3 linked regions of the Bombyx mori genome follow. The protein of the gene in region 3 purifies or fractionates together with the protein of the main gene of each other region. This does not show direct contact. Links are inferred from orthologs where the notes say so. Each region holds a gene or a part of one and is shown on either strand. Other genes may lie near its edges. The genes, in order: cullin-5, protein mahjong and COP9 signalosome complex subunit 3.

The links.
Region 1: the proteins of COP9 signalosome complex subunit 3 (region 3) and cullin-5 purify together in Homo sapiens (affinity purification with mass spectrometry; 3 studies listed by BioGRID and IntAct, with this or other methods). This does not show direct contact. The link is inferred for Bombyx mori from reciprocal best matches to the Homo sapiens genes COPS3 and CUL5.
Region 2: the proteins of COP9 signalosome complex subunit 3 (region 3) and protein mahjong purify together in Homo sapiens (affinity purification with mass spectrometry; 5 studies listed by BioGRID, with this or other methods). This does not show direct contact. The link is inferred for Bombyx mori from reciprocal best matches to the Homo sapiens genes COPS3 and DCAF1.

What each region holds. Positions count from the first base shown.
Region 1 is NC_085129.1:7,724,793-7,727,745, forward strand, and holds the end of cullin-5, read left to right. Parts: coding exon 1-1,003; intron 1,004-2,123; coding exon 2,124-2,261; 3' UTR 2,262-2,305; downstream 2,306-2,953. UniProt on the Homo sapiens protein: Core component of multiple cullin-5-RING E3 ubiquitin-protein ligase complexes (ECS complexes, also named CRL5 complexes), which mediate the ubiquitination and subsequent proteasomal degradation of target proteins.
Region 2 is NC_085130.1:15,869,259-15,872,922, forward strand, and holds part of protein mahjong, read right to left. Parts: intron 3,637-3,664; coding exon 3,483-3,636; intron 2,168-3,482; coding exon 2,022-2,167; intron 985-2,021; coding exon 790-984; intron 1-789. UniProt on the Homo sapiens protein: Acts both as a substrate recognition component of E3 ubiquitin-protein ligase complexes and as an atypical serine/threonine-protein kinase, playing key roles in various processes such as cell cycle, telomerase regulation and histone modification.
Region 3 is NC_085119.1:8,374,468-8,378,231, reverse strand, and holds the start of COP9 signalosome complex subunit 3, read left to right. Parts: upstream 1-1,342; 5' UTR 1,343-1,607; coding exon 1,608-1,662; intron 1,663-1,830; coding exon 1,831-1,985; intron 1,986-3,061; coding exon 3,062-3,158; intron 3,159-3,764. UniProt on the Homo sapiens protein: Component of the COP9 signalosome complex (CSN), a complex involved in various cellular and developmental processes.

The sequences.
Region 1 (2,953 bases), on a different chromosome or scaffold from region 3:
TAAAGGTACAGCTCCTGAAAGCAAGTGCCCTGAACTTCTCGCTAACTATTGTGATATGTTATTACGAAAAACACCGCTAAGTAAAAGATTAACTAGTGAACAGATAGAAATAAGATTAAGAGACGTTTTGTTAGTTTTGAAATATATTGAAAACAAAGATGTATTTATGAGGTATCATAAGGTTCATTTAACAAGAAGATTGATATTAGACTCAAGTGCGGACTCTGAAAAAGAAGAGGATATGGTAGAGTGGTTACGTGAAGTAGGTATGCCTGCAGACTATGTAAATAAATTAGCACGAATGTTTCAAGATGTAAAAGTAAGTGAGGATCTGAATACACAATTTAGGGCAGACACAACTCGTCATGATGCCATCAATATTAAAATACTCAATGCTGGAGCTTGGGCCCGTGGATCTGAAAGAGTAACAGTAAGTCTGCCACTAGAATTAGAAGACTATATTCCTGAAGTTGAAGAGTTTTATAAAAAAAAGCATTCAGGTAGAAAATTGCAGTGGTATCATCACATGAGCAATGGCACTATAACATTTGCTAATTCAGTAGGTCGTTTTGACTTGGATGTTACAACTTTTCAAATGGCAGTGCTATTTGCATGGAATCAAAGACCTATGGAAAAAATAAGTTATGAAAATTTGAGATTAGCAACAGAACTTCCAGACCCTGAACTGAGAAGGACTTTATGGTCTCTTGTGGCTTTCCCAAAATTAAAAAGGCAATTGTTGTGCTATGATCCATTGATTCAAAATCCTAAAGACTTTGTCCAGAATACAATATTTTGGGTAAATCAGGAATTTGCGCTTATTAAGAATGGAAAACCACAACGTAGGGGTAAAATAAATTTGATTGGAAGACTTCAGTTGAGTACAGAGAGATCTCAAATAGAAGATAATCATTCCATTGTGCAGCTAAGAATATTGAGGACTCAAGAGGCAATCATAAAAATACTAAAGATGAGGAAACGCATTACAAACACAGCACTTCAGGTATGGAACTTATATATTTTTGTTTCGATGTACAGTAAAAGCTCTATTTGCAGGCTATATTTTCCCTAAATATGCTGCGAATATGGAAAAGCGCGTTTACAAAGGATGTTCGGTTCGACCTCCTACCTTGGAATCTTTTATATCAATGTGTATGTACTGATTAGATTTCGAGATAGAGATTCGTGAATCAAGAAATCTTTAGGCGCGAACGTAGGCATTAGGTCGCATTTTTTTAATCAGCGAATAGTGAAAGCGCGAATAAAGAGCTTTTACTGTGTTAACTTTGAATATCTGTTCCAAACATGTGTACATGAATGCTTTCCACTAAAAACAAATATGTATATAAATACTTAAGGTAAGCTTTTTGTGTTAGGAGATTGCATCAGTAAGTACTGTATTCCTTACAGGTTACACTCATAATAGTGCAAAGTGGTCTTCTACCACATGGGGTAGTAGTGTTTTTATATTTCAGTAACCACACTTGATACCAAGTAGATACTGAGCTAGTTCATGCTGCACAAATGATGATTGATTATAATTTTGCCATGACTTAACAAAAGAAAAATTTGAACATACTTAGGTATAATAAATTGGTTTGGAAGAAAGCCTTTGCTTAAATAAATAAGTTTTGACAATGTTTTCGTAATTGCTTTCATGATTCTTAATTCTCCAATAAATGTTATATGGTATTTAAATAATTGAAAAGGTGTGTTGGGTTCACATATTCAAATATTACATCTTATTCTAAGCAGCAGAAATTCAGACGATAAGGGCTGACGAAGTGACGAAGATCACCAATTGAAGATTTTTCTTGTATTGTTCACTAATAAATACATTCTCCTTGTCTCCACCTTATACCACTAAGTGGGATCGACACTGCCAATGTTTGTATTCTCCTCTATCAGCCGTCATCTCAACACTCACTCCTCTCTCTCTCATATCGTCATTCACACTCCATCCATGTCTTCTTCGGTCGACCTTTTTTCCCCTGCAGGATACCACAATTTCCATACATCTCCTATTTACGTGCATCTCTACGCATCACAATATGACCATAACACGCTAACCGTCCGCTCTTTATAAATAAGTAACAAATTTTTATTATTTTTATTCCTTGCAGAGCGAGCTGGTAGAGATTCTAAAAAATATGTTTCTACCATCGAAGAAAATGATAAAAGAGCAATTAGAATGGCTTATTGAACATAAATATATGCGTCGCGACGACGAAGATATTAACACGTTTATATACATGGCCTAAAGTCAATAATGTAAATGAATAAAATCAATAAATTATTTACTCTATTTCTCTGTTTATATATCTATATCTGTAGTCTCTGTTAATAGTTCAAAATATCATGTGTTGTTTATTAGTAATTGTAAGGTAGGTAACATAAATGCATATTGATATTATGTTAATATTTTATTAAATACATAGAACATAGTTTACATTATTAAATGTAAAAAAAACATAAAATTAGTTGTTGGCTGGTTCTATAGTTGTACCTCCTTGAATTTGTCCCCAACCAATTAACCTGAAAATAAGTAATAATATGTTGACAAAACTTGTTTCAAAGCACATGTGGTATACCAGTTATGCATTGATACTAACCGCCAGTGATTTTCTACTCTTCTACTCAATGCTACTTTTTCTCCAATTTCCGTGCAAACAGGGTTCGTAAGGGCGATTTTAGCCAAATCAACTTTTGTGGCGATTACTCGGCCGCCAGTACTTAACGATCCAATATTTACGAGGAGGACCTAAAAAATATTTAATGTGCAACTTTAATTACAATAGATGTGTGATCAACCTAACGGCCCAAATAGTGCTAAGACATTACTGTAGTTTCTAAATAATGTACCACTGTTAATTACCTCATTTTTGACTAATTTTTGGACTTTGGCAGCCTTTTTATCTCCTTCAGTGCGCACGCCAAGCAAACGTTTCAAAAG
Region 2 (3,664 bases), on a different chromosome or scaffold from region 3:
GAGAAGGTCCGGCGAGAAACTCAGCGGGGTGATGCATGGGTTAGGTTGCACGTCGACTTCTTTGTCAGTTTCGACAAGTATAGTTACCGGGGTCCCTAAGCCAACTGCCAGTGGAGCCAACCTTCAGACATGAGTTCAGACATGACTGCTTAGGGACGCACATAGCGGTAGATTTTTTTAATGCTCAATAATTATCGGAGTCCATGGACATCTACAATGTAAATGCCACCTTGAGATATGAGTTCTAATGTCTCAGTTTTTAAAGCGCAACGGCAGCGACGTCCTTCAAACCGAAACGCATTACTGCTTCACGGCAGAAATAGGCAGAACGGTGGTACCTACCCGTGCGGACTCACAAGACGTCCTACCACCAGTAAAAAATATTTTTTTGATTATATCTGTTTGTCATACTCAATACTCCGTAACCCCGGTAAGTGAGCATATTTAAATAGATTTTACTTTCATCTGTGCTAACCACAGATTCGATTCGATTTCATTTAAATCCACGTTAAAGAAGTGAAACTTCTTTTGCGGTGTTAAAATCTTGTGTTTATCTTCATTTTTCATATTTTAATCAAATTTCTCTTATAATAGGCAATGTTGTGTATAAGAGAAACGGCCTAGCTGGCTTTCTCCTTCTCTCCACACGGTCGAGTGGTCCGCGAGACGCTCTGTCTATTCTCTCACTCTCGCTCTTCCTAAATTGTATCTTTTCTCTCTAGCCGTAACGAATCTGTCGTGAGAAGTTTCACTTCAACAAATTATGAATGAATCTTTTAATGAACATACCCGTATGGGCGTTGAGGGTGTGTAGACTGGCGGCGGGGGAGGCGGCGGGGCGGCGGCGGCGGGGGGAGGCAGCCCCGCCTCGCGCTGCAGCACGGCCGCGCTCTCGTGCAGTCCGCGGGCCGCTAGGTGCTCCTGCACCAGTTGCAGCAGCTGACGCTCGTTGTAGTTTATTCGCGTCTGGGCCACCACGTTTGCCTGGACATCAAAAGTTTGCGTTCACTAAATTTACACATCAGACGAGGCTCTTCAAAATTTATCCCTTTGCGTGAGTAGTGTATAATCTGTGCCGAAGCTGAAAAGTACACGTCATGGACTTTTTGGCGGGAACGCGAGGAGTGAAGTTGTGTGATTTGTTTTATTTTGTCTATTTAGTGTTTCTTCGGGTTTAAATGTGTAATAAAGGTTGGTCTATTAACTGTTTAATATCTGTGAAAGTGCACAAATGTGGAAAAATGAAACAAAGCCGCTGGACGCAACTTCTCGAGATCCTCCAAAAAGTCCACTGAAAAAATCTCAGTAAATGACCACCATTTTACTGCGATTATATCATCCCATATCATCTCATTTAATTTCACTTCATTTTATCCAAGTTGATTAATGTCTCAAATTAATCATCTTCATTTCATTTCCTTCCATAATATAATTTTTCATAAAAATACGAATATAATTTAAAAATAAGACATGATTTAAAGGTCTCAGTTACCAGGTCATAAAATCCCTTAAAAAAAAGTACACGTCATGGAGACTTTTTGGCGGGAACGCGAAGTTTAAAGTTGTGTGATTTGTTTTACTGTGTCAATTTAATGTTTCTTCAGGTTTAAATATGTAATAATGGTGGTTTATTATCTGTTTGATATCTGTGAAAGTGCACAAATGTGGGAAAATGAAACAAAGCTGCTGGACGTAACTTCTCGGGAGCCTCCAAAAAGTCTACTGAAAAAGTCGCAGTAAATGATCACCACTTTACTGAGATTATATTTCATCCCATATCATCTCATCTCATTTCATTTAATTTCATCCCAGTTGATTAATGTCTCAAATTAATCATCTTCATTTCACTCCATATTATCATTTTTTTATAAAGATAACAATATAAATTAAAATAAGACATGACTTAAAGATCTTAGTTACCAGGTCATAAAATCCCTTAAAAAAATACACATCATGTTGACTACGACAAGCTAACATACATACGTCTGAAGCTAATAAAAGCGTATTCAAAAATCTGTCACCTTGTGTATATTCGCCAATGAGGTTTCGAACTCGGCTCCCATGTGCTTGCTCTTCCCGGAGACGCGCTCCAGCAGCTCCAGCGCGTACTTCTGGAACATCACGTGCTCCTGGCGCTTCTCTTGGAGTATCGGGTCGCGCATCAGCACTGGGCAAGAACGTTCTAGATTATTATACATACATATCGACGCTCGAAAGGCAAACGTGACTGAGCGACAATAACTGCTTTGTACATAAGCGATAGGCAATAACCATATTCGATGCGCAAAAAAATATTATATTTTTATTTTTTTTATTGCTTAGATAGGTGGATGAGCTCACAGCCCACCTGGTGTTAAGTGGTTACCGGAGCCCATAGACATCTACAACGTAAACGCGTCACTCACCTTGAGATACAAGTTCTAAGGTCTCAGTATAGTTACAACGGCTACTCCCACCCTTCGAACCGAAACGCATTACTGCTTCACGGCGAAAATAGGCGGGGTGGTGGTGCCTACCCGTGCGGACTCCCAAGAGGTCCTACCACCAGTGATTACGCAAATTATAATTTTGCGGGTTTGATTTTTATTACACGATGTTATTCCTTCACCGTGGAAGTTAATCGTGAACATTTGCTAAGTACGTATTTCATTAGAAAAATTGGTACCCGCCTGCGGGATTCTCGTCGGCAGTAAAGGAAATCCGCTTTCGTCACCAGGCTTGGAGGACGCGTGGGGAGCGGCGCCACCACCACCACAGCCCCGCGAATTGTCGATACGAGAGCTCGGGTCGCATTTGCTCCAAACTTTGGACGGTTTTATATTCGTAGTGGCTCCGGATGGCAAAATTATGTACATCAGCGAAACTGCGTCAGTACATCTTGGCTTGAGTCAGGTGAGTCGGCACCAATCTCCTAGGTACTAAAGGCGATCTATTGAAATATATAATATATCGACGCTTGAAAGGCAAACGTGACTAAGCGACAATGTGTGAACTTTACAGTAGACTAATTTAAAGTTGAAATACCTGAAAAAAATTCTATTTTAACGAATCTAGCTGTACGAATGAAATGATTTTAATAGACCTAGAGATATATATATATTTTTGCGCATCGAATGTGGTTATTGGCTATCATTTATGTACAAAGAAAGCAGTTATTGTCGTTATATTTATTGAACTGTGGTTTGTTCATCCTCTTTCAGGTTGAGCCCGTGAGCTCACCTACTAGTTAAGGCTACGCTGATATAGCCTCTCAAGGCTCTCAGCTAGGTAGGAAAAAAAATCTTAATATAATATAATAATAATATAATATAATAATATCCAGGTATCGTATGATAAAATACTATAGTATCTTTACCATGTGTGACGCCCTTTAGGCGGTCAGTGACTAAGTTTCATGAGCTCTGCCGCAAACCAGTTCTGATAGGAAGGACACGTCAGTCCTACTGTCAGCGAGCAGAGGGCGCTGCGGTCGGTCGGCTCACCTTGTATCTGCGAGGTGGTGATGAGCGGCAGTTTGGATATGATCTGCCGCACGGTGGGGCAGCGCGCGAGCCCGGCCAGCGCGCGGCACGCCAGCCCGCGCAGCCGGTCCGCGTCCGTGATGGGCGACTTCACCGTCATCAGCGCCAGCAGCACCTGCGGACCGAGGGCAGCTGCAACACGC
Region 3 (3,764 bases):
ACTGTCAATGAATGATAGCATAGATTATACACTTAATATATAATGACAGTATTACATCATAATACACGAGTGACACTTTCATTTCCATTATTGAGTTTCATACACTGAAGTAGGAAACCTAGTTTCATACTTCAGTGTTTATTGAGGAACTTTGTGGGAACTTTATTGTTTAGTGTCAAATTTCAAAATGAATAATGTCATTGTATAAAATAGAATTAGTACATTCTTATTTCATTAGATTTTTTTACTGAACCGACAAAGAAAAAATTACCCATAAAACCAAATCTAAAAAAGGCAAAAACATGTCAGTTTAATAAAATGTGAAATGGAATTAAATAATGCAACAGATTTATTTTTATTGCCCTTGCAGGTAGACAAGCATATGGCCTGCCTGATGGTAAGTGGCTACCGTTGCTCCTGGACATCAGCAATGCCGGGGCACAGCCAAGCCGCTGCCTACCGTTGCGTACTTTTCTTAAGTCTCCTTTAAAGATAGATCATCTGTAAAGGAGATTTATATATATATATATGTATATATATTTTATATATTATATATGGCGTTCGGGAAACACCGTAGAGGGAAGTTCATTCAAAAGCCGGATGGTACATGGCAGAACTCTTCTCCGATAACGGGTGATGTGATTATAAAATTAATATTATGGGATCATCTGAAACAATACATCAGAGCACACCCTATGGGACATACGATACAAAACCCAGAGACAATCGAAGTCTCTCTGTAGACAGAGAGCTCCAAGCGATACATGCGAACGGGAATATGGACAATCCGAACGTCTCTCTTCTGTATGAAGTCCAATGGAAATTATCTGATAGTATTTGAGAGCCCCGGCCCAGAGGTGAGAGCAGTACTCCACGCAAGGCCGGAATTGCTTTGTAAGGCCGAATTTGTTTTATATAGCAAAAATCTGTATCCAGGTGTGAAGTACCAAACACAAGTTTCGATAGTTTTTCCTGCATCATAATGAATGATGGCAAGAAAATAATTTCTTAGTAAAATAGCACCATTCTTGTAATAAAATTAACTCTTCTCATGACTGTTTTCTTTGAATTGATTTTGATTCAATTTTATTTGAGCCGGAATATATTTTTATTACATAATTTTTAGAAAATTAAGTGATTTATGTATCTAGCCAAAAGAGCGAGCGCATCTTTTACGGGATAGTTTCTTATTTCTTCATGTAGTTTTTAAACTAACATTTATTACGGGTGTGATACAGACTAAATTACTGAAAATAACAATAAAAAAGAAAGAGATTAACACATACCTATTTTATCATATCGCACAAATACATAATGTTTTGTCTTATCTCAGCTCAAATTTAATTCATTTCGTTCCGTTTTACTTTTTATACAACACTTATAGCTGTAGTCTTTATTTTTTACAAGATTATGGTCTAGTACCTCTTTGCCTAATATATTGATGTATTTAAATAAACAACTACCGCTGTCAATTTCTCATGTCAAAAAAATATCAATAATTCATGTTATTTTCGTCTGGGTTATTTTAAATGTAGAAAAAAGAAACAATTTATTTAAACATTTATTAATTCAAGCACATATATAATTTATCTGATACTACTATCACAATGGCTTCTCCTTTAGAACAATTTGTCAACAATGTGAGGACAATGTCGGCATCAGGTACCGTGCTATTATAATTCATGGAATAAAAAAAGTAGGCACCTGACACAATCGCAATCATAATAATAATATTATAATAAACCTGATTCTTTTTTAGGAAACAAATTTATTGGAATGTATTAGAACGTCATTAAATCAAACTTCATGGTACAATGTCTTATCTTTCAGGTAATTTTCGCGATTTATATGAGATTATTGCAAAATCAGATGAAGTGTTGCAGAGGAATAGCTTCCACCTCAATACAGTACTTGAAACTCTTGATATCCAACAGCATTCATTGGGTGTTTTAGCAGTCCTGGTGGCCAAATTTTCCTTGCCTCCGGTAAGTGTTTTAATTATGCATTCTAACTTTACATAAATTATTACAATGGCCTTAAAGTGTAATTGAAATCTAAATGTATGTTAAGTCTAACTTAAACTGTATCAAAATCTATATATTAATACATGAAGCAAGAACTTTGTATCCCTTTTTAAGAAAATTGCGCGGACGGAGGAGTATGAAATTTTCCACACTTATAGAGAATATACAGAAGAAGTGCATGATGTTAATATATTTTTTGAATAATGCATAAAAGATACATTAAATCAATAAAGAAAACATTACACACACTACATACCTTGTATTTGACGCACACACGCATGCATACTATTTATTGTCAAACTTTTGTTCTTGACGTCTGTTGTCAAATTGAAATTAAATATTGTTTGTCTTTGTTAATATTTTTTATAGTGTAGTCTTGGTGAAATTTGTGATTATAGAAGTATAAAATACAATCATAATAGTGTAAAAACTTACAATTCCAATTAATCATAGTTGAATTTCGACTACTGCGGGACCTCTAGTATCACTAAATATTCACAGCAATAATTATAACATATATTATATATATTTTATATCTATCAAGGCATTTTATGCCTAAACTCAAATTAAATAAATAATGGTTTAAAAATACTAACAAAATACGCTTTTGTAGAAAATCCAACTAAAAAATAGAAAATAAATTTGATTTAAAAATGGTGTAAGAAAAAATTATTTTATTGTAAAAAAGCATGGGGTGCATGGTGCATGCATGGTAAGGGGGTCAAAATCATGTTCAAAGATTCTGTTACATACTAACATACATACAACTGAAGCTAATAAAATCGTATTAAAAAGCTGCAAAGTCACCCAACATGAATTTTGAAAAAAATCTGTAGTAGTATATTTATTGATACTGACAAACTTAATGAGGTCCAATATTAATTTGAAAAAAATATCTCGTAATAATATAATGTTAACTTAGGTTTTCTCTTTGTTTTGAACTGTATAATGTTCTACAGCATGAAATAAACTGTTCATCACATATTAACTACTTTTATTTCTGTTTTCTGAATCAATATAACTTATGTACCTTACAGGGCAATCCAGAAGTTGATAGGTCAACTATGTATCAACAGTTTCATGATTTTATCAATAACTGCAATGGTGAACAAGTTCGATTTGCAACTGATTTATGTAAGTCTGCTTTTCATTTTGTCAATCTTTTTTAGTCAGAATGCTGAACCTCTATATATTTTACCTTCTTTGATATCTCTGAAAACTAGAGTTGACCCTGCTCATAGCCTAGTAGTATAATAGTAGCCTAGTAGTATAATCATGAGTGTTTCATAGTTCAGTGTGTGATTGTAAATACTGAATTTTTATCAATCAATTTATGTATAATACTTTATCAGTAGCATCTTTTGTGTATAAGCTGTGTGGCTGTGTGGTCTAATATTTCAAGTTAAAAACTGAGAAAAAAGTTTAACACAAACTCAATAAAATAAAATAAATACTTGTTAATAAAATAACCCTCATTTATTACAATATTTAATTATAGACAATCATAAGAAATATTTTCTATCTCTGAGTGCAAGGTCAGTAATACTCACGAATAACCTGTTATTATGCTAGTCACTAGCAGCTAGTGTAATTAATTCAATTTAAATATTAAAATTAATTTTTTCATTGGTCTATTTCTTAAAAAATAGTATCTTATCGCTTTCTCATCTTAACTTAGCAAAACAATTTAAATATGTATAAAAATAAATTAAGTATTTTAGATTTACGCTTATGTAATGG